Linked DNA regions of Astyanax mexicanus. The protein of the gene in region 3 purifies or fractionates together with the protein of the main gene of each other region. This does not show direct contact. Links are inferred from orthologs where the notes say so. Each region holds a gene or a part of one and is shown on either strand. Other genes may lie near its edges. The genes, in order: mms19, aco1 and fbxl5.

Region 1 (8,046 bases), on a different chromosome or scaffold from region 3:
TTTGGTTCGTTTTCATTAACAATAATAATTGGTTACTTAGCATTAACATTGTGATTATCACACCAGAGCTTTATTTAAAAATAAAATATATAATTTAAAAAACAGATGCCTACATCTCAGACTATTTTCTGGAGCCCAACCCGACCCGGCCCGAGGAATGTGGTGGGAAATCTCGGCCCGAACGGACCCGATTTCGGGTCGGTCCTCGGGTCAGGTCTGGTTCGGGCAGAGAATCTAAGCTCTAGTCTGATGCACTTTCTGCCATTCTCACCGCTGTGTGCTGAGTAGCTGAAGCGGAGCAGAGTTGCGCATGCGCGGGTGACTTTCTCCGCTGGCTTGAGTTTTACCGGTAATAAGCAAACACACACGGTATGATAACCGTGCATTTTAATACCACGGTATACCGTGAAACCGGTTACCGCTGCAACCCTATATAAGATATAATAAAATATTTGCAGAACTATGAAATATATAATCCGTTTTACTTAATACTGTTTATTTAGAGTGTTAGAGTAATAATATTTACTCTAATAAGAGACTGTAGCTCCGCCTAAGTGTATATCACAGTACCTACATTTGGAGTGTGTTATTAAAACCCTTACCTGCACATTTACATCCTGGAAGAGGGATCTCAGGATGGATACTGCAGAACCAGGAGGCAGCACTGTACTCTTCGCCTGAAGGACAAATATGAGTCAGTCATTTGTTGAATCAGCGTCTCCAGCCTCAATTTCTCCAATGTTCACCTGGTTTACTCAAAGACTGCTTCTGACTCACCAAGGCCTTGAGTCCTCGGAGAACGTGCGGTGTGATCGCATAGTGATCCTTTAGCCTGTTTTCGTAGAAGGCAATCAGGACCTCCACTGCAGACAGGGGTCATAAAAGAGTCAGGAACTCAGTAAGAGTGAGTTAGAACTCAATTTTTATGTGACTAAAATTCATTAGACTAAAACATGGTGGTGAGCTTGGCCATAACGCCCTTATTCTGTCACTTGTGTAAAAAGAAACCTTTAGGTGTAACAGAAAGTGACATGATTCATATTGATACATAGCGATATTGACTGATATGGAAAAAAAATCTAATCACGATATAGTTTTCCATATCGCCCAGCCCTTTCTTCAGAGAAACAAATTTCAGCTATTAATTTAAAAATAGGATTTAGGATTTAGTGGCTCTTTAATTCATAAACCTATAAAGCTGCAGTAATATAGTTAAAAACCCCTACATCAAACTAGGCTGTTGGTTGCCAGCTCCAGTGCAAAATGCACATCAGAAGATGAATAAAAGCTTACCCTCCCTCTCGGATAGGCCGCTGTAGCATTCCTGCAGGACTTCAGAGAGGAGCTGGACCCCTCTGCCTCGCGTCTGAGACTGAGAACTCGTGAGACTTATCCTAAACACAAACAGCAGAATCATCAGGGTCAATGTCCAGAGACTGATAACTGTGCAACACTATTAGAGCTTCTGAGAGCTCTGACATACTATGATATAACACATAACGCCAATAAAGCTACGTTCACATTACAAGCCACGTTGCTCAAATACAATTTTTCTGGTCAGATCGGATTAGTCTATCTTGACGGTTTACATTCACAAATGTAAGTGATCTGTATCTTTGTGTAATGTGAACGAATCTGTCCCTGAAACGTCTCACATGCTGCACATTGATACCTGTATAAACGTCTCCATCTTCACCACCAAAAAAATATATATTATATTAGAAAGACGAGAGACTCGTAGCTTTATAAAGAGAAATGGAATCGTTAGCAGCTCATATATGGATCATCTTTTGCTGGAGTGGAGAGCAAACAACTGGTCTGAAGTTTATGCTCAGATTGAGGAGGTGAAAAAAACGCCAGTTGGTTTGCTTTTGCTGTTTTTTTGCAGCTATAGCTGCATAGCTGCACCAAGAAATGTGTGGGTACGAGAGAGAAACACGTAGCGCTAATGCGTAAAATAAAGAAACAAAACACATGAATTCCTATTTGACCGTTCACATTCATGTTGCATGTCCAAGGATCGGATACGTATCTGATTTAAGACCACATATGAAAGTGACTTAAATTCACACAGCCATGAAAAAAATCAGATTTGAGTCACTTCAGCCAGGTAATGTGAACGTAGCCCAAGAATCCTTGTGCAAGACTTCTAACACTACATTGGCCCAATTTTGTATTAAGCGTAACTTTGTAAGTTGCTCTGTATGAGAGTACCAGCTAAATGCTTAAATGTAAATTATATAAAATATAATATAATGTAGTTAATGCAGAATAGAGGATCTTACCCAAGAGCCTCCACCAGCTCCAGTATGTTAAAGTTTCCAGCTTTGACACCTTAAAGAGAGATAAAAACATGTTTATATTGAGGTTAAGGTGAGAAATGTAGGGCAAACAGACCCTGATAACCATATTGGCTGCAGGCTTCTCCCAAAGCCATAGTGCACGTCCATTCAGGCACTTCTATATATACTGTAGGCAAGGGTTATAGTGAATGACAATTGGTATTTTGTTATTTTTACATGTATTTTTCTATAAATTATCAAATTTATGGTGCAACATCGTCGACATATGCTCAAGTTGCCTGAAAAGTCATGTAAGATGAAGTTAGCTTCATGTTCTCTAATTGTCCCGTTCCACCTTAAATCGGCTGTAGTTACATTCACGCTCCTGCCCGGCGCCAGAATGTGACCGCAGCCCAATTAAGGTGGAACCACGAAATTCAAACAAGAAGCCAACTTCAGCCTACAGGATGTGGGGGAACGTTAGCGACGTGCGAGTCACGCTACCTGAGCATCTCACGCACATTTTGAGAGCTCGTGCTCCCTTTAAAAAAAACACCTGGCTCTGTACCTCACCGACAAACACGTAACATACCTGCCGCAACGTCCGCGGCCTTGCTGTCCACCTGTCCCGCCACGAATTCCTCCACCAGCCCGGCCAACTGAGCGCTTTCGGCCGCCATCGCGAACTAGCGATGTCCGACTCGTGGACGAATCGGCTCCTTGAACCGAGTCTTTGGACTAAATTGATTCACGTGTTCAAAAGAATCAAAACTATAAATATATATATATATATATATATATATATATTTTTTTTTGTATTTATTAATAGCAATTAACATTAAAAGACCAAAACAACATTTTTAATCTTTGTTTAGCAAAATAATAAAAAAAAGAATCTAAACTAATGTATCGTGAAATCAAAATTGTTTTGCACAGTTTATGTATTCTTATTTATTCTCATTTATTTTGACCAAAGTCAAATATATAATATTAGATACATATTTGGGTTCCTGCAACATCAGTTGTGATAATACTGATAAATGTGTACTTAAAATGTATAGAATAAATAAATAAATAAATAAATAACCCATGGCTGATTATCTGTGAACTTTATGTCCAAGAAAAATGTTTTCTTGGACATATTTTTGAGTAGAGTCTCTTAAAAAAAAGAATCGATTCGTTAAACCGAGTCGAACCCAGCACTTTAGGGGGATTCAAAGTGCGTTTCAGCGCGCGCATGCGCACACGGTCGCACGTGCACGTCACTGTTAACGGCCAGATGCGCGTGAACGTGTGAGCTGCCTTTTTATCATCAGAATAACACAGAAACTTTATAAATCAGAATCTACCAGAGTGGACAGACTGGAAAAGCTAAAAAAAGTTCCCTCACATAAAGTTATTACACTAAATGATTATGAATACGCTGGCTGATGTCTAAAACACTGTTTTACCAGAGTTATCCATATGATACTGCCCCCAATCTAAAAATAACTAAAATATATAGACAATAAGTTATTAATTAGTGAATAACTGAAAACCTTACAAAGTTGAATAAACAACATATATGATATATAGCTGATATATGATCAATATAAGTAAATAAAGTTCGAAAAACAGTAAGCATAATAGATGACATGACATGACAAGACATGAAATATCCTCTGTCATATGTGACCATCTTCTGTAATTGTTTTGTAATTTTTCAGGTGATTAAAAGTAGAGCTATTAATATGTAATGTATTCATTTATTTGTTTGCTCCTCATCTAAGATTCAATTGAATTGTACAGTTTAAAATGTGTGATGATAAATGTGAATAAAAGTGATTAAGAAATAATTAAGCATATAAATGAGTCATTTTGAATTGACTGATATCACTATGTATAACAAAAAATGACAAAAACCGGAAATAGGATAAAAATAAGTGAATATCTAAATTCTAAATATTTGCATCTCATTTTAGTGTTTAAAGCAGGGCTGGTATGTTTTATTATTACAGATCAACATATTTCAGCTATTTATGTAAAAAAAATGTATTAAAAATGTAAGTAGTCTTTAAGACATATTCGAGTAGTCTAAACTCTCCAGAAAATAACCTCTGTCATGTGTGACCGTCTTCTATAATTTTTTTGTAATGTTTAGTGAATAAAGGTGGAGCTCTCCAAATAATTAATTCATTAATTTGCTCCTCATCTATGTTTTGATGATAAATGTGATTAAATAATTTAGCATATAAATAATTTATTAAATCAGTTTTAATCGCCTGACATCAATATGTGAGAGGAAAAAAATAGATTAAAACTATACATTTAAATACATATTTAATACATATAAAATATGAGAACATTTAAGGTACATAAATCAACATTGGCTTCGCCCAATCGCTGCAGAGTCCTGCGTGTCGTAGGCACCCTAGTTCCGCGCAAGCGCAAACAGTCACAGCCGAAGCGAATTGATCTGTTGGTGCGACTCGAGAGTGGGGAAACGAGGTAGCTAGAGTTACATATCTGCAAAAATAATCCTGTTACAGAGCGAATACATGTCTAAATTCGGTTCAAATGTTACTCTGCTCTCCTTGTTTTGTTCTGTAGGCTTCCCTAGGTCCCAGGTTTCTGGCGGACTGTAGCAGGAGCGCTAACCGAGCTTTAGCTCCTCCGAGGCGGATAGAGAGAAGTTGGCTCTCGGTGGAGAAGCGGAGTACGGCGGTGCCAGCGGGTCGATCAGCAATGCCGAGTTCCCAGACTCTCAGCGGGGCGACAGGACTGCTTTGGGCCATATCCGGACCGGGGATGTGCTTTAAAACGTCGTGTGTTCAGAAGTGTTAGGACAAAGTTAGCTTTACATATCGCTACGTAGCTAGGGAGCTAGCTAACTAGCCTTAACTACGATAACGTTACATGATACAGTTTAGGATTGGAAGCTAACCTAGCTTAGCTAGTTGGCATAGTTTAAGCTAGTTATTTAGCATAACGTACCTAGGTTACTTGAGTTAGCAAACCCAACTAACAGTCATAGAAGTTTAGAAACTGAAACCAAGCGTGTTATAAATAGCCATGGAGCGTTTTCCTAACTTTTCCTGTTCAAGTTTATTAGTTTAACAAAACAATATGCTACCATTTAATTAATTGGTGAACCTTGGCTATCTTAGCTCGCCTAGTTTGTCCCAGTTAGCTAGCTAGGTTACCTAGGTTACTCAAATTTAGGTAAGCTGGTAAGCTAAGTCTTAAAAAGTTAAGAAACTTAAAATAAGCGTGTTACAGATAGCTATTGAGCTTTTTCCTAACCTTTACTGTTTAAGTTTATTATTTTTACAAAATAATTTGCTACCACTTGATTGGTGAAACTTAGCTAAGTTATCTATCTAGCCTAGTGTGTCCGTATTAGTTAACAAGCTCGCTACCTAGGTTAACGTTACTTGAGTTAGCAAAGTTAACTAGTTTAGTTGGTTGGTTATCTTGGCTAGTTAACTAACTAGCTAAGCTAACAGTTTAGACGTTTAGAAACTGAAACCAAGCTCAAAAATAGGTATGGAGCTTTTTCCTAATTTTTCCTGTTTCAGTTTATTAGTTTAACAAAACAGTTTCCCACCATTTGATTGGTGAACCCCATAAAATAGCCACGTTAAACAGAACAAGGTGTTCCAGAACAGAGAACAGCGTCCGCCTGCCTGCTTTCTTTCCAGCTAACTACATAACCCCAACTACAAGCCCACACTTGCCCACTTGCAGTCTTAGTGTTGCTTGCTGGAGCTATCTATCTAAGCGTTAACACCTCTCCCACAAGCTAAAGCCGTCTGAAGGTGAGGAGAAGTCCCCAGCTCAGTTAAAGCTACAGGTGAGGGGAAAAACCCTGCCAAAACAATCCACCTGTATTTAAACAGGGCTTTCCTGTTTAAACAGCCGCATGTTGATGACCACAACACAGCTGTGTGCGAAGCTCCAGCTCCCCCTTTCAGGTCGTGATCAATAGCAGCAGCCAGCGAACAATGTGGCTCGTGTTTATCTGACCGAACCATGGGAGGATGTGTGGGCAGAGAACGGCAGGAGTCCCGCGGACAGGGATCATCTCGAGGTGGCAGGAGTCAGAGGAAGCGTGGAGGTGAGTGAAAACATGTAGCTGCTAGTCTTTAGGCCTTGAAATTTCACTGTCTATTAGTCAGATTTGTAACTGCAACTCAGTGTATGTCTTTTTTTTGAGTGAGTTTTTAAGTCCCACATTCCAGTGCACACAATTTGTTGGGGTACTGTCAGGTTCAGACTGAATTTGTTGGATTACAGTCGAGTTCATAGAGAATATTTGTAGGGCTGCAGTGTGATTTTAAGCAAAATTTGTTGGGTTGAAGTCATATTGATAAAGAATTTTGGCATCTACATTTAAGTCTGACCTTATACTATAGTCACATTCAGACATAATTTGTTGGCCTAGTTGGGTTTAAACAGAATTTCATATTCAATTGAAAATTGTGGGGTTATGATTGGATTTGGACATAGTTTGCTATTAACAGAGTTGGTCGAGTTACAGTCAGGATTCAGATAGAACTTGTCTAACCCCACATGCATTCTGACCAAATTTATTGGGCTACATGGAATGTGTGAGGTTGCAGTTGGATCCAGATTAAATTTGTGTGGTTACAGTTGGGTTTTGATGGATGATGTACTACAGTCTTTCAGTCTGTTTTTTTTTTTTTTGAAGCAATAGAGAAACAAAGCAGAGAGAGAGAGAGAGGATTGCAGACCTGTATAAAGTACTAGAGGTCCAGATTTGAGTAGTTTTGAGTAAGTTTTTATCAAAAAAGTGACTTGAGTGTTCTAAGCACAACTTTTATATGGAATACTTTTACAAATGTTTTTGTACTTTTTTGTACTTAATTGTTACTGAAAGTAGTACCATGACAGCTTTTCATTCTTTCAGTGATAAGCAGCTTCATCATACCTGGTCACAGTGCAGAGCATCTACCTCTCTGATTTTAGTGATAATGTGGGTTTGGAAAGATTTGTAATACAAAAAAATATATATATCTTCTCCAGTAAATACAGATACAGCATTTTAGTACTTAAGTACAGTAGGGAAGGAATTCTACTTTACTATACATCTCTGGTGGATTACCATGCCACCTGTATCTCTCTCTGGCAGAAATTCTCGTCTGCTAATCGTCTAATCTGAAAACTAATCGAGAGTTTAATAGACTTAATAGACCAATAGATTAGTAGGCTTGGTAAAGACCTAGATACATTTTCTTACGTACACCTGGGGCTGAAACTAATCATTTTGTTTGTTGTAGTTACAATTTTTATAATCATTTTTCGATTATGTTTACTAATTGTTGCAGTCCTACACAACTGTTGCTGCTTTGGACAATACTGGGTAGTGCAATTCTTTTCGACTAGTTAAGAAACCATTTTAAATGACTACTTCTAGGTTATAGACACTGTTGTTAATAGGGTGTAATAAAATACTGATATTCTCTAAGATCACAATATTTTGTTCTGCATTACTCCCAATATACAGCTAGAATTGTTCAATTTGAGGAACTCCTGAGCTGTGCGCTGCTAGTAAATGTTTGAATGGTGATAATCTACTGACTGAGCAATCAAGGATATGGTGCAATCTGCTGGAGACACTTCTGAGAAACCCTTGCTTTGCTGTATGTGTGCAAGCATTATTCAGCTGAATAGTGCCATTGGAAATCCCTGTTTCGATAGGCAGCACAGGGCCACGGGCATGTCCTTTACATATGCAGTGGCCCCTCAGGTCATCAGTGGTTTA
Region 2 (7,554 bases), on a different chromosome or scaffold from region 3:
CCTATTAGACAGCAGATGCTGTTGGAATAACTGTTTATAAATGCCTATATAGGCTTATGTTATGAATTGTTATGAAAAGCTTGTTTAGAAGTCATGTGTTAGAAATGGTGCCCTGCAGTAAAGTGTTACTAGATAGTTCAATGAGTGCTTAATTCAGTTACAATTGAAATGTAATAGGCTAATACTAAATACTAAATACTAATAGGCTATCAAGCGAACGGTGCCAGACACCGGCCCTCCATAACTGTTGTTATGAAGGGAGTTGTGCACCCCTTGTTTAAACAGTCTAATAAAAAAAGTTTTGGTCTCTTACTAAAAAAGATCATTTTGGGCTCTATAAGTAATGGAGTTAGTCATAATTATCCACAGTAGTTTTTTCAGTAGACCATAGGGTTTCACTCCTAAGCTGGGTAAGCTACTCAACTATGAGTCCTTGTAGCATACTTTTCATGTATTAGGCTCAAAAGAAAAGTATTGACAGCTTGATGATGTAAATGTATTAAAAAACTAATAAGGCAAATCATTACTTTAAACATGTTTCAAATATCAAATATAAAAAATATCAAATATCATGTTTCAAAAATCAAATATAAAAGCATTTCTACTGAATCACATTCTGCATATTTATTTTCTTTGAACAGTTTTACACATTTGTGTCCAATAAATGTATTAAACAATTTCTTAGAAATATATATATATATATATATATATATATATATATATATTTTTTTTTTTTACAATTATTGTTTCCATTAAATTGGCTTTTGACAGTGTTTGAGAAAGTTTGGGTTTCAATTTTATCTGCATAAAATCTTTACATGCTTGAGTTTAATACTGTTTATTAATAAAGCAAAATCTGTAGAAAAAGCTACTGACCCATGGAGGGGAAAAATACTACCCCTAATTCTTGTAGTATTATTGGATTTTTTCCCCTTTTCTCACTTTCAGTCCTGAACAAGGGGGATTTATCCTGTAAAAATAGCAAAAACTGTTCTGTGCTTCAGGGGGAAATCAAAGATAACTTTAAATGAGCTTACATACTGTACACAGTGTATGTACAAAGTAGATTAAAAATACTTTGTTAAAAGAAAGATCGAGATTTCATTCCTGATTTTATCACAGTTGTTTTTTTATCAGTTCAAATCTTGGGTAACATGTTTATGAATCAAAGGTTCAAGCTGAGTTCAACTCGACTTGGCTTTGTTCCCCTCCACTCTAGGCAGTATGTTATCAGTCAGATTCCCAGCCTGGAAGTCCTAGATGACACAGAGGTGCAGGAGAAAGAGCGAGCTCTGGCCAGGAAGACCTACAGGATGCAGAGAATCAGGGAGGGCAGCAAGAAGAGGAAGGAGCTCCATCACTGATAGCCAATGGCTAATCGTTTCATCAGACCCTTACCGGGCTGTGTGCCAAGCCAGCCCTGCGCTCTTTAAATCTCAGAACAATCCAACCACTCATTCCAGGCCTCTATAAGCTTTATGGGAAGAACGTGAACCAGTACATGTTTGCATTTGTAAAGTGATTAGAGCTGACTGTGAGGGCTCGTCTCTGCATTTTTCTTCTACTTGAGTTTATCACTAAGGTCTGCTGGGATGTTTGTGTGGAGTATTGCACCAAAAATGTCATTAACTTAAGAATAATATATCAGAGCTGTCAGGAAAAAAAATATTTGTGTCTTGTTTTTACATTGTGTTCCAATTCCTTTGTGCACAGGTTGAAACATATAGTCCAGAATTATTTTAAATAAAATCTTGTTCCACTGAAAATGTTTATTTTCTTTCTCCTTTTAATCATATATTTAATGACAGCATGAATATACAAATATGATCTGCATTGATTCGTTATCTTGTATTGTAAGGTTAAATATATCAGTTTAAACATTAGTTTGGTTGTAGGGCTAAAGTGATGAAGACAGTGCTTAATGCTGTTTTTTTAGCTTAGTTTCCAAAAATATATGGTAACACATATGGAAACTGAATGGGTGGACTGGGAAGCTTAAAAACCTGTTTACATGCTACTACATCATCATGTATTTCATCATTTTTTTTATTATACAGGGCATTTACAGTAAAGCCTTGGTTGATGCACTATAAATGTTGGTTAAATAATTGATTATGGAACCACTTAATTTTCTTAAAAAAATAAAATAAAACAAAGGATAAACATTATAAACACATTAAAACACAGTTCATATTTTGCCCACTAGAAAAACGCCTATATTTTCAGCAATGTCAAAACACTGTTTTCTGTGTATATCAGTATATGGACGGATGGTTCTGCACCAATTATATTACATATTAAAATTATTCTGTAACGAGGTTCAAAACAAGGTCAGAATAGTACACTAAAGCTGTGCATCCATTCTTATTAATATCTGTAGTAGTAGCAGCAGTAGTAGGAGTAGTAGTAGTAGTAGCAGCAGTAGTAATAATAATCATAGTAGTTTGGCAGTAATTAAGTAATTGCATTTTGTTACTTTATTGTACTGAAGGTTACTGTGCAGTTTTTTTTTTCTCATCTTTACTTAGGTATTTATATTTTAGTGTTTTTATTACAACTTCACTACATTTCAAAGACAAATATCTCTACTCTTTATAAATATCTTACATTTTTTTCTTACTCCACTACATTATTCGAAATCTAAAAAAAAAAAAAAAAAAAACAGAAAGCAAGCACATCAAACAGGTTACAGTATACACTTTTTAACTTGTTTTTACCTGCTGGAACCCTTTTGGCAAGCATACAATTTAATATCAGTATTACAGTGCAAAATGTGTGTAAGAGTACATATATAATGGAATAAATTGTTAAATATAGAAAAGAAAACCCTTTTTGTACACCTGTATTTAAAGCAACATAAAAAAAAAACTTGAATCTAAGTTGCAATTAAACTTAAACTGAAACTTTGCATGTTTGCATTTTTTTTATAGACAATTGGTGTATTCAGTGTTTAGTTTATAATGAGTTTGATAGACTTCAGTGTCAAATTAATGGCATTCTGTAAAAGATGAGTAAACCAAGATTGACACAGGAGACTTTTCACCTAAAATTATTTGACTTGGTTTAAATAAAATAAATACAATAGGATATTTAAACCAGACTATTTTATGGTAATTTTACTCTGTGTCTGAAATGTACCAAATGCTGCCCTGCTTAAAAAATCCAAGTCCAGCTAGTCTTTCAGACAACACATACCCTATGCTGGTAGGCTAGCTCCTGATCAGCACAGGGTTTTCTCTGGATGACCAGCTGCTCTTGAACTAGTTTTTTAGCATGGGTCTGAGGCAGGAAGGCACCCAGCATTGAACTAGCATATCTAGCATTGAACTGTCCATACCTTGGCAACTTTAGGATGTATTGCTCCGTATTGTTTCAGATAGTGATTTTTTTATTTTATTAATAAACTGCCTTGTGTTTCAGGCACAGACTAACTATTTACTATTTATTTGAAGGCAAATAATTTTGTACTTTTGCTCTAGTGGAGATCTAAATGGGGTTGTTCTCCTTTTACTGGGGTAATATTTTAGAAATATCTAATTTAACACAGGTACATACATGGCTGTACAAGGAGTATGCTCGGGGCCTGTGGTTTAGGACACAGACTGTTCAAGTTAGCATTTCTTGTGTTTCAGACACAGACTTAGTATTTAATTTTTTCAAGGCAAATAATTTTGTACTTTTGCTCAAGTGAAGACGTAAAGGAATGCCTTCTACGTTTTTTTTGTTACTGGAGTAATATTTTAGAAATATCCAATTTGACTCAGGTACATGGCTTTACAAGGGGTATTCTAGTGGCTTGTGATTTAGGACACAGCCTGTTTAAGTTTGTATTTCTTGTGTTTCAGACACAGACTTAGTATTTAGCTACGTTTTTTTTTAAGACAAATAATTTTGTACTTTTGCTATAGTGGAGAGCCAAGGGGAGACGCTACGTTTTTTTTACTGGAGTAATATTTTAACTCGGGTACATGGCTGTAAAATGTATATTCTAGTGTTACGTGGTTTGGGACACAGCCTGTTCCTAAAAGTACACCAGCTGCAGGCAGGCAGACCAGTGAGATCAGGTTATGCAATAGCTCACCTTTGTTCATTGGTTCCTTGAAACCCACCCCAGGGAGTGGAGTTTTATTTGAGCAATACAATTAGGAGTTTACTTTACTGCGTTTATTAATTTTAAACTGTTATAAAATGCATTAATAATGTGGGGAAAAAGAAAAAAACAGCGTCAGGTATGCATGAAAATAATTAGCTAGCTGTTAACCTCTGTCATAATGACCCCTGTTAAACCCCTATGTTTTTTTAATAAACAGCTGAATCATTACCGTATTAAATGTGGTATAAAGACTTATTTAGCAAGGGGTTACTTGTTTTGTTGGTGAAACAAGCGTGCAGGGACATATATAAACAGTCAGTGCTGTACATTAGTAATATAATTCTGTATTTATGAAGGCTGACAGGGATAGAAATGTTATAAATGCTATTTTATGAGTTGCGTGTTTTCTCTGTGTTGTATTGTACCTGTGGATTACGGTAAACAGCAGCGCCGCTGCTCGCCTGGCTCTTTAGCTGGGTATCAGAGCAGAACTTCAGGGTTTGGGAGCTGAGCAGGTAACTGAGCTGGTCCTGTTTAAAATAAGCGCTGTGCTGTTTGTGTGAAGTTTGAGGAAACCGTGCTGTAGATGGTAAAGCTGCCTAAGGTTATACAACGTATTTAAACTCTCGTTATTGCGTAAGGTAGTCTGTTAAACGCTAGCTAATGTTAGCTGTGACCGACCGGTGTTCTGCCGAGTTGTGTTACCCATCGGTTTGTGCTACTTAGCGCCTCTGCGCATGCGTTAAACTTTAATTTTTACTGTTTTCTTGTGTTTTTCCTGATAATTTCGTTTTTTCCCCGGGTGCATTGTACAATTTGGACTTACTGCCATCGTTTGCTTGAGTGTTATAACTGAAAAATAGAATAAATAACGATAAAAACGCTTTCTAATTACTATGTATATAACTTTATCCTGATACAGCGATAAGGCTATTCAAATATCATACCGAGACTTAATTTGCGTGCATGTTCTAATATTTTATATTTTACCTTTGAATACACACTGGGGTAGCATAGTTTGACAAGGTTTGTAAATCTCAAAAGTTGTGCTACCTTGTCAAACCGTGCTACACTAGTGTATCTTTACTGTAAAAATACAAAATAGGTACCATATTGCAGCCTGTTCCCAGTAGAAGTCCCAGTAGATGTAGATAGTATATTTGGATATCATAAATCACTGTATCATGATAAGAGATTCATACAAACTGCTTTTGTATTTTTTTGTAAATAATAACTATTGTATTTATTATAATTCATTTACATTTACACGTTTGTCCAATGACAGCGAGTCCAGCTTGTTTAAAGCACAAAAATAGAAATATTACAAAATAAAAACACGAGAAATAAATACAAACTGTAGGTCAGCGCATGCGCAGTGCTTTTAGGAAGCACTATCGGTGGGTAGCAAAACTCGACGGAACACCCCGGCTAGCTGTAGTATCGTTAACGTTAACCGAGAGACTGACAGTGAGTGGGGGAGAGGTCGAGGCTGAGGCTGCGTCCAGAAACTTTTGCTACTCCTCCTCTCCTACTCCTCCTTTCCTACTCCTCCTCTCCTACCCCGGAAGAAGGTGGAGGAATCGAGGAGAGGAGAGGAGGAGGAGGAGGAATGGAGGGAAGGAGCTGTAATTGGGGAAATGGGACAGCTGATCCCTTTTAGATAGGATGTTGAAAACCGTTGAACTGAGCCAATCACAACGCTCACTATCAGCACGTTTCAGAACATTACTATCACACACAGCTAAAAATTCAGATATTCCAATAAAATCCTGTTTACTCCCAGCCGCATTTTTGGCCGCATCTCTGGCCAGTGACTCTGGTAGCCCTGTCTGACCTCAGCCTTATGAGGGATTCAGTTCCTCATCAGTCCCTAAGTTAAAATAAATAAGTAAATAAATTAATTAATTAAAATGATATATATATATATATATATATATATATATATATATATATATATATATATATATATATATATATATATATATATATTATAAATAATATATGTTTTTATATGTATAACATGATACACATAGGGTCATAAATATAGTTTTACTGAGCATACAGTTTATCTAAACTATAAATTATATTACTGCTTTACTGGCTGTTTAATTAGATAAGGAACCTAGTTAATTAATATGTTTATGACGTATATTTGGGCGTTGCCTTCCCCATTTTCGCGTGCTCTGTGGGCGTGGATGCAGTGATGTCATTGGAAAATCCTTAAAAGTCTTCCGGAGTAGGATACACTGATGTAACCTCCGTTGGAAGCCTACTACAGGTGGATTTTAAGCGGCTTCTTTCGTCTCCTACGGTATTCGGACAGGCGGCAAGATGGCGTCACGAAATCAGTTTCCGGGTCACGGAGGAGAGGAGGAGGATCGGTAGGAAAAAGGAGACACTTTTGGGGTTTCTGGACGCAGCCTGAGTCTCCAGTATAGCAGAGTTAACTAAAGCAGCAGCAGGTCGAGTATCATCATCATTATTATTGTTGTATTTACTGAGTAACTGTGTTACTAACTGAATATCTGAGTGTTAGCTAGGTTATTTAGCTAGCGGTGGCTAATGTTTTGTAGGATGAGCTAATGTTAGCATGTAAACTAACTAAGCTAGCTAAGGATAGCTAATCTAACTATTTGGCTAACTAGCTACTGAAGTAACCCCTGAATTAAACCTAGCTATCTAGCTTATTGGATAGATGGTTAACTAGGTTAACTCGGCAACTTTTCCCACTAGTTTGCTGTAGTTTAGGCTGTAAAGATAGAGAAGGTATATTGCCCTCTGTCATTCATTATTTGAGTTTCATTGAATTTGTTTGGTGTATAAGTGAACCTGAGCAGGTGGATGAGGTGGAGTGCTCGTTCAGAGTCCACTTGTAGGAAGCTAAGCTAACCAGCTAGCAAGTAGTAACTACATTATTTACAAGCTATTTTTTTAAAACCTAAAAAAGCACAAGCTGTGCAAACTCAGTGCCTTTATTGATTGGTGTCATGTCATCCACAAGTGTTTTACCATATTACATTGTATTATTCGACATTTTCTTTTTTTTTTTTAATCCAAAACATTATATATCACTGTAATGTAATTACTAGTAAAAATTTTGATTTCAGATATACTAGCTATGGAAATGGTTTTAGAAAATGTAAGTGTGCTGCAGACTCCCATTGACAGCATGCCATATGCACTTAGTTACCAAAAGCTAAAATTCACCCGATTTGCTCCAAAACATAAATGTCAATTACATTTCTGGCAGATTGAAGAAATTGCAAGGAATTGAATTAATAGTCTTTCCACAAAAAGGGGCATAATAATAATAAAACATTACCTTGCCTCCCTATTTAAAAACGACCAGACATTAATTTTGGACTACCCCTTGGTGAAAGATTGTTGACTGATGGACTTGCCTCTAAAACACTCTTAAAGACACTTTGTTGAGTTGACAGACTTTGAGAGGAGGAGCATCA
Region 3 (7,145 bases):
ATTAAAGGCCATTATTTTAATCAGAAATAATGACAGTAAAGTTGTGATTAATAGTCATTTTTTACATGATTGACCCTATTACTGTAAATATAGTTTCACTGTGATTATCTAACATTGACTTTTATTTTAGATTTTAATATTCATTGTTAAATGTTTTAATGTTCAGTAGGAAACTGAAGATATGACACTGATACTTTTGACAGCCCGTATAACACTAAATTTGCTGTTCCCTCAAAATAACACACTGTCATAAATGTCTAAAAAGTGAGTACACCACTAAGTAGAAAAGGCCAAATTGTGCCCAAAGTGTCAATATTTTGTGTGGCACCATTATTTTTCAGTTGGAGTTTATTAGAGATTCACAGGTTGCTACTTGAATCCTCTTCCACTCCTCCATGGTAAATAGTGCTGGTAAATGTTAAAGACTGTTAAAGAGCGCAAAGCTCTTCCACCTTCTTTTTGAGGATGCCCCACAGATGCTCAGTTGGGTTAAGTTCAAGAGACATACTTGGCCAATCACTTTTATGTTGAGCTTCCTCAGCAAAGCAATTGGTATTTTGGTTTGGGGCCTTTATCATATTTGGAGTTTCCAGCTTCTGCTCTGCTTCAGAATGTCACAGGAAATTCTCCCCAGTGCTGCCAGCACTCACATGGCCCCAGACAATGATGTTATCACCACCATATTTGACAGTAGATAAGGGATAGTTTTCTTGGTAGTCCTGACCAGGATGCCACAACACATTCTGGACACCATCTGAGCCAAACAAGTTGTTGAGGCAGGACATGGTTTCAGTAATCCATGTTCTTTGACTGCGTGTTTTCCTGTGCATCATCTTCAGAAGAGGATCCCTTTTAGGACTTTTGCTGTATGGTCTGAGCACTGCAGGCTGACCTCCCATTTCTTCAAGCTCTGCAGCAATGCTGACAGCACTCTATTTTTTTAAAGCCAGACTATGTATATTACCATTGGCTAGGAACCGGGGGGGTGGGGGGGGATGGGGGGGACATATTAGAAACAGGTGGTTGCCCCCCCCAAAAATGATATCGTTTCGCTCAGATCAGCTGTACTAATGAGGAGACAGACCGGACCAATCACGGAGCCAGTTCATGTATTAATTCCCGCCTCTCAGTAAAAACAGCCAATCAGCTTGCTGGTTTTGCGACGCGGGGAGGAGAGGCAGTGTGCTGGTGGTGGAAGCCCCGCCCCCTCGCTGTGAGATTTAGCAGCGGGATCGGGCTGCAGCAGCAGCTGATTTAAAAACAGATCTGGATATACGGAGATTTAAAAAAAAAAAAAAAAAAAAGGTAACGATAGGCTAACCACGTCAACAGTGATGATATGTTTCTGATAGCTGGTTAAAAATACACGTCTCTGAATCAGCAAAAAGTTTAATCCCACTGTGATTAATAAACTGCAGCTGTGTTAGTGAGTTAGCTTAACTTTGGAATTAGTTATATTGGGAGTCAAGGTTAAAGAAAAAAACTATATATGTAATGTTCAACTTGCCCTGTACCTGATCAGCTAATCGCTATTTCATTTTGTCAAACTGTGTTTATTAATTTAGGATTACAGGACTTACTGTGAGCTATAATGAACGAAAATTCATTTAGTTAACTAGTTTGCTAGAAGCCAGATGTAGTGGATAGCCAGAATTTAGTACAGTACTTTATGTTTTAGTTTAAAGCAGTTTCTTAACCCTGATCACTGCCCCAAAATTGTGTTTTCCACCTGATCCAGCTGATCGGCTAATAAACAGTCATTTACCGAGTTTACCTGTTAAAATCTCTTAGCCCCCTATGGAGCCTAAATTAATCATGTATATCCAGCAGTGTATTAAACACATCATACCACCACTTACCCTATTAAATGCCTTTAAAGCAGAGGGAGCTCTAGAATATGGAGAACAGTGTTAATATGCAGTATAACATGTAAGAACAGGGTTGAGAAACACTGATCTAACCTGACTTCTGTTAATTTGTAGCTCAAAGTGACCACATGTCTATGAAACGCAAAGTTACATTCTTTTACATAAAAGGACACCATCTTAAGAAGAGCTCTCAGTAGAAAATAATAAAGCGCAGGAGAAAACGTAAAGATATGACAGAATTGACATGCCAATAAATAATAATAATAATAATAATAATAATAATAACCAAATAACATGTTTAGGTTGTAAAGTCACATTTTAATAATAATTTACTTTTAATTAAAAGTAATTTCCACAAATGTTGTTCTAGGAAACTACAGGGTGGGCTTGGGTTCATATTGGCAAATGTGTCCCCCCAATTTCAAACCCGCTCCTATGCCCTTGTATATTACACATGAACACGTGAACTCAAGTTCTTTGAATGACTCTGAGAAGGCCTGTTCTGAATGGAACCCATCCTGGAAAGCTGCTGTATGACCTTGGCCATCATGCTGTTTTAGGGTGTTAGCAATCTTCTGATAGATCAGACCAGCTTTGTAGAGAGAAACATTTCAGTTCTTGCCACAATTTCTTGCCATGAAGTGCCATGTTGAATACCAAGTGGCAAATAACAGAGAATTGTACACAAAATACCAAATTTAACACTAACGAGTGGCATAATTTGGCCTTTTTCACTAAAGGGCTATCTATACTTTCTGTTATCAGCACAGTTTAGACATAAATGGCCATGTGTTCAGTTATTTTGGAGGCACAGCAAATTCACACATGAAGCTGTTCACTGATTTATTTATTTTTTTTTAGTTGTGTCCTATGAAAAGATATAATAAAATATTTACAAAAATAGGGGTGTACTATATATTTAGAATACTGTAATACTGTGCCTTCTGATGTCCTTGGGCACAATTTGGCCATTTTTTTACATAGGGGTGTACTCACTTTTGTTGCCAGCAGTTTAGACAATAATGGCAATGTGTTGAGTTATTTTGAGGGAACAGCAAATTTACACTGTTATACAAGCTGTACACTGACTATTTTACACTTTACAAGTATGTAATATAGTTATGAGACCCCAGAAGGCACAGTTTTGTGCTGAAGGCTGTGTAGTGTGTGTTAGGGGCAGATCAATTTAAAATATTGATAGTATTGATACTAATGTTGGTATTTATTAATACTTGTGTGATGAGATCGATTAGGTTTCAGTTCATCTTCTGTACAACTCCAGGCATGTACAGATTAACCGACTGGCCATAAAACACTGCTCTTCTCTCATTTCACTCATACTGAACTAGCCCATTTTATGCCTTAGCAAGCAAACATTAACTATAGACGTAAACCTAACTAGCCATTATTATTCCCTTCCTCCATCCCCATGCTTACATTATAATATTATAAGGCTGTTTTAAACTTTACAAAATTATTCATTAACTGCACAGTCATTAAACATGTCTGACTACCCGACTACTAGGTACACTTAGCCCCAGTAGGGAGCTCTAGTTTAGCCGTGAGATAATGTAGGTTAGTACGTGCAGTAGTGAGAGAATCTATGGCGTTAGCTAATTAACTATAATCTCTAGTTTGCTTCTTAAGTTTCGGTTTATCTTCAGTACAACTCCAGGCATCTACAGAGTGACCGACTGACTGTAAAACACGACTTCTCTCTCACTTCACTCATGCTCAATTAGCCTCTCCCCTTTTCTAAAACTAAATAAATTATTTCACTGGAACTGAAAAATAGATATGCTACCTACAAAAAGATATAGTTATGCCTCAAAACTGAAATATGAATATGGCTGAATACATATTTTATGTTAACTGTCAAGAGAACATTGGGAAAAATCTGTTTGTTAATTGCAAATGCAGATTACCACCCCAAAAGGGGCATTTTAAGTTTTCTATAAACTGTGTTTTATTACCATCAAAAACATAATTATTTATAAAATAAAACAAAATAATTAAATAATAATAAAAAAAAATCATTCAAATTTGCATATTGATGATGCATTCACTTAATAAATTGCTCTCCCCTACACAAAAAAGATGGTAAGAGTAAAAAGTATTCATATCAGTATCGGCAGTACTGGCCCTTTATTTCCTTGGTATTGGATCGATGGAAATTTTTGCAGTATCGCACAGCCCTGCGTGTGTGTGCTGGTGCGGTGTGAGGGGTCAGGTCTGATGGAACTGTACTGCTGTAGTGGAGCTGTGTACTGAGTCCATGGAGCGCGATGGCGCCTTTCCCGGACGAGGTGGACGTGTTCACTGGGCCACACTGGCGAATGAAGCAGCTGGTCGGCCTTTACTGCGACAAGGTATACTGGGAATCCGACCGCTACCTGCTTTACTGGTTTTCATTAACAATTCATATTGTTTAATGGGTTTAATAACGTTAACGGTCGTTACGGTGCTTAGTTACAGGCTCTCTGTTTATCTAGCCTAGCTTAGCTAACCAAACACTAGAGCTCAGCGTGTTTATTGTGGCTGTAAATCGCTAGTTCACCATTATTATCACTTAACATGTAAAGACATTAGTTAGAAACAGAAAATAACACTAGTGTCGTCTTCAACACTGTGATAGAGACGGAATTAGCTTGACGTAGCCTAGCTAGCTAAAGCTGAACCAGGGGTGTGTTGGTGCAAAAGAATGAAAGCCTTGGAAATAGCTAAGGTTAGCTAGCTAACGTAGCTAAGGTAAACCCAAATGTATTTTTAATTAACGGACAATAGCACGTTACTACACAGTTTTATGAACACGTTGCTCTCCAAAATCTCTCTAAAATAAGAAACAAGCTCTTTCAAATATTCTGAAAAAGTGGACTAAGCTACACTAGCCTAACATGCTAACCCAGCTACACCATTAGCTAGCCAACGTTAACTGTAGACGTAAAGCTTAAGATAGCTAACCTAACTAGCCATGTTTCCTTTGCTCGGTTCCTGTGCTTACATCATAATCTTATAAGGCTGTTCTAAACTTTACAAAAGTATTAGACTAATATTCATTAACTGCGCAGTCATTAAACATGTCTGACTCCCTGACTAACTTACTAGCTACAATTAGCCCCAGTAGGTAGCTGTAGTTTAGCTGCCAGCTAACGTAGGTTAGTACGTGCATTACGTGCTGCTGTGGTGAGAGGATCCCTGGTGTTAGCTAACTAACTTACCATAATCTTTAGTTTACTGCTTAACCCACATTATTATCTAACTTACGTTAGGTGCACGCAGTTTGAGATTATTGACTGTTTTCCCAGTTTATGTTATCATACATTTAATATAAATGGTGCTTTGCTGTGTGTTTATAGTGTCAAATTGGTTAAAATTTGTTTGTTATAAAACTGCTGTTCAAAAAATCATTGCTGCACCATTGAAGTTTACAAAAGAGCACCTGGATGTTTTAGAGAACTAACTGACTGGTTAAATATACTGTGGATAGATAAAACCAAAATTAAGTTGTTTGGAAAGAACACACAACGCTATGTGTGGAGAAAAAAGGCACAGCACACCATCAAAACCTCATCCAAACTATGGTCTATGGTGGAAATTCAAGTACTCACAAAGGTTTCACATACTTTTCTTGCAACTGTGTAATGTTAATTATAGTTCATAATTCATTAGGAGTATTTTTAGTTTTCCTTATTAAAAGAAACATGCTGTCTCATGGATAAATAGCTTATAGTTTAATTTGTCTTTTTAAGTAAGTAAACATTATGGGAAATATAGTTTGTTTAGGGATTGTATTGATTGTTTGGTTAGTCAGTAATTGTATTATCTTGTCAGGCCTACTACTTGTTTTGTTTTTTGGGGAGTCGTTAAACAGAGTTTAACTAGTTAAAAGTGATCATTACAGCAACAAAAAGATGCAGGCTGCACATGCTTACATAAGCAGCCTAAACTGCTCCCAATCTTCCCTGACTGCTGCTTAGTCTCAGCTGGCTAGACATTTATGTGTAGACATTTATTGATTATTAAAGGTGTTGAGGACAAGTCTGTGGAGTATAGCTACTTTTTAAACACTCACATGGAAAGAGGATTGGCAGAAGTGAAGACCAGCATCATAGCAAGTATTATTTAGCTTTATTTATAAATTGATTATTTATATTATATAGCTTATCTTTAATTATAAAAATGTATTTCAAAGTTATTTGCCGTATCACCTAATACCCAACATATGCATATTAGATATTGACACCTTTTTCCTTCTTTCTCTCATTTCACTACATACAGCTGTCAAAGACAAACTTTTCCAACAACAATGACTTCCGCGCCTTCCTGCAGACGCTCTGCGCCACCTTCAAGGTGTTCAAGATCCATGAGCAGATTGAGAATGAATACATAATCGATCTGCTGCAGCAGCGCAGCCGTACCATCTACAACGTGCACTCTGACAACAAGCTGTCCGAGATGCTGTTGCTTTTTGAAAAAGGCCTTCGCAATGTCAAGGTGCGTGTCAATATCTGTGCACAGACATAACATGCTTTACATGTAAGTGTTTGTAGATATCATCTTGTCCACCTTTTTCTTCAAAGCAGAGATATAATTGTTATTATCATTATTATTATTGAGTTTTGACCTCCTTGCTGAAGAAAGGCTTTAGACTTTAATTAACTTTAACGTTAATTTGTTTTACCGCTCTACTGGAGTTGTTTATTTGATATTTGACTTTAGGCTTATTTGTGGCTGCTCAGTTCGGCAATGATTTTCTGTGGAAATCGTTGGGCTTATCAATATATAATTAATATCAGTATATACAAAACTGCCTTCCACAGGATGATATCTTAATATTGCAGTTGCTACACAGGTTTCCATCTCAGTTGTTTCATTTCTAGAAACAACTTATGTGTTGTTTGTGTGGAAACATTTTGGTTAGTTTTTCCCTCACTGAATCTCTGTGTGTGGGAAGACGGTGACACTGTTGAGTGTCGTCTGTTAATAGTATCTGTCCTCGCCCATTGCAGATATGTCACCACTATAATAATGGGTTTTTTAACTGGTGTTTAAGGATATTTATGCCAGTGTTTTAATAAGAAGTTGTTATATTGCTGAGGCGCTGTTCGCATCAGGCACAGTCAAGAATCAGCCTTATTGAAACTATAGACAAAAGTCTGAATAGTTGCTAGATTTTTAGATTGCAATGCTTTTCAGAAGAAAGGTAAAGGTTACCTAGAACCATAAACGATTAAAAATTTCGAATTAATCCATAAATCTATTTAGGTACCCATAGAA

Evidence for each region.
Region 1: the proteins of fbxl5 (region 3) and mms19 purify together in Homo sapiens (affinity purification with mass spectrometry; 4 studies listed by BioGRID and IntAct, counting the BioPlex papers as one, with this or other methods). This does not show direct contact. The link is inferred for Astyanax mexicanus from reciprocal best matches to the Homo sapiens genes FBXL5 and MMS19.
Region 2: the proteins of fbxl5 (region 3) and aco1 purify together in Homo sapiens (affinity purification with western blotting; 3 studies listed by BioGRID, with this or other methods). This does not show direct contact. The link is inferred for Astyanax mexicanus from reciprocal best matches to the Homo sapiens genes FBXL5 and ACO1.

What each region holds. Positions count from the first base shown.
Region 1 is NC_064422.1:9,099,682-9,107,727, reverse strand, and holds the start of mms19 (MMS19 nucleotide excision repair protein homolog), read right to left. Parts: upstream 3,008-8,046; 5' UTR 2,963-3,007; coding exon 2,875-2,962; intron 2,335-2,874; coding exon 2,286-2,334; intron 1,395-2,285; coding exon 1,294-1,394; intron 864-1,293; coding exon 778-863; intron 678-777; coding exon 603-677; intron 1-602. Other genes in the region: ubtd1b (ubiquitin domain-containing protein 1), read left to right, coding at 6,294-6,378. UniProt on the Homo sapiens protein: Key component of the cytosolic iron-sulfur protein assembly (CIA) complex, a multiprotein complex that mediates the incorporation of iron-sulfur cluster into apoproteins specifically involved in DNA metabolism and genomic integrity.
Region 2 is NC_064415.1:28,092,377-28,099,930, reverse strand, and holds the start of aco1 (cytoplasmic aconitate hydratase), read left to right. Parts: upstream 1-4,514; 5' UTR 4,515-4,608; intron 4,609-5,488; exon of another isoform or gene 5,489-5,587; intron 5,588-6,519; exon of another isoform or gene 6,520-6,555; intron 6,556-7,554. Other genes in the region: uncharacterized protein LOC103041383, read left to right, coding at 1,220-1,364. UniProt on the Homo sapiens protein: Bifunctional iron sensor that switches between 2 activities depending on iron availability. Iron deprivation, promotes its mRNA binding activity through which it regulates the expression of genes involved in iron uptake, sequestration and utilization.
Region 3 is NC_064420.1:11,522,635-11,529,779, forward strand, and holds the start of fbxl5 (F-box/LRR-repeat protein 5), read left to right. Parts: upstream 1-4,085; 5' UTR 4,086-4,153; coding exon 4,154-4,237; intron 4,238-6,146; coding exon 6,147-6,362; intron 6,363-7,145.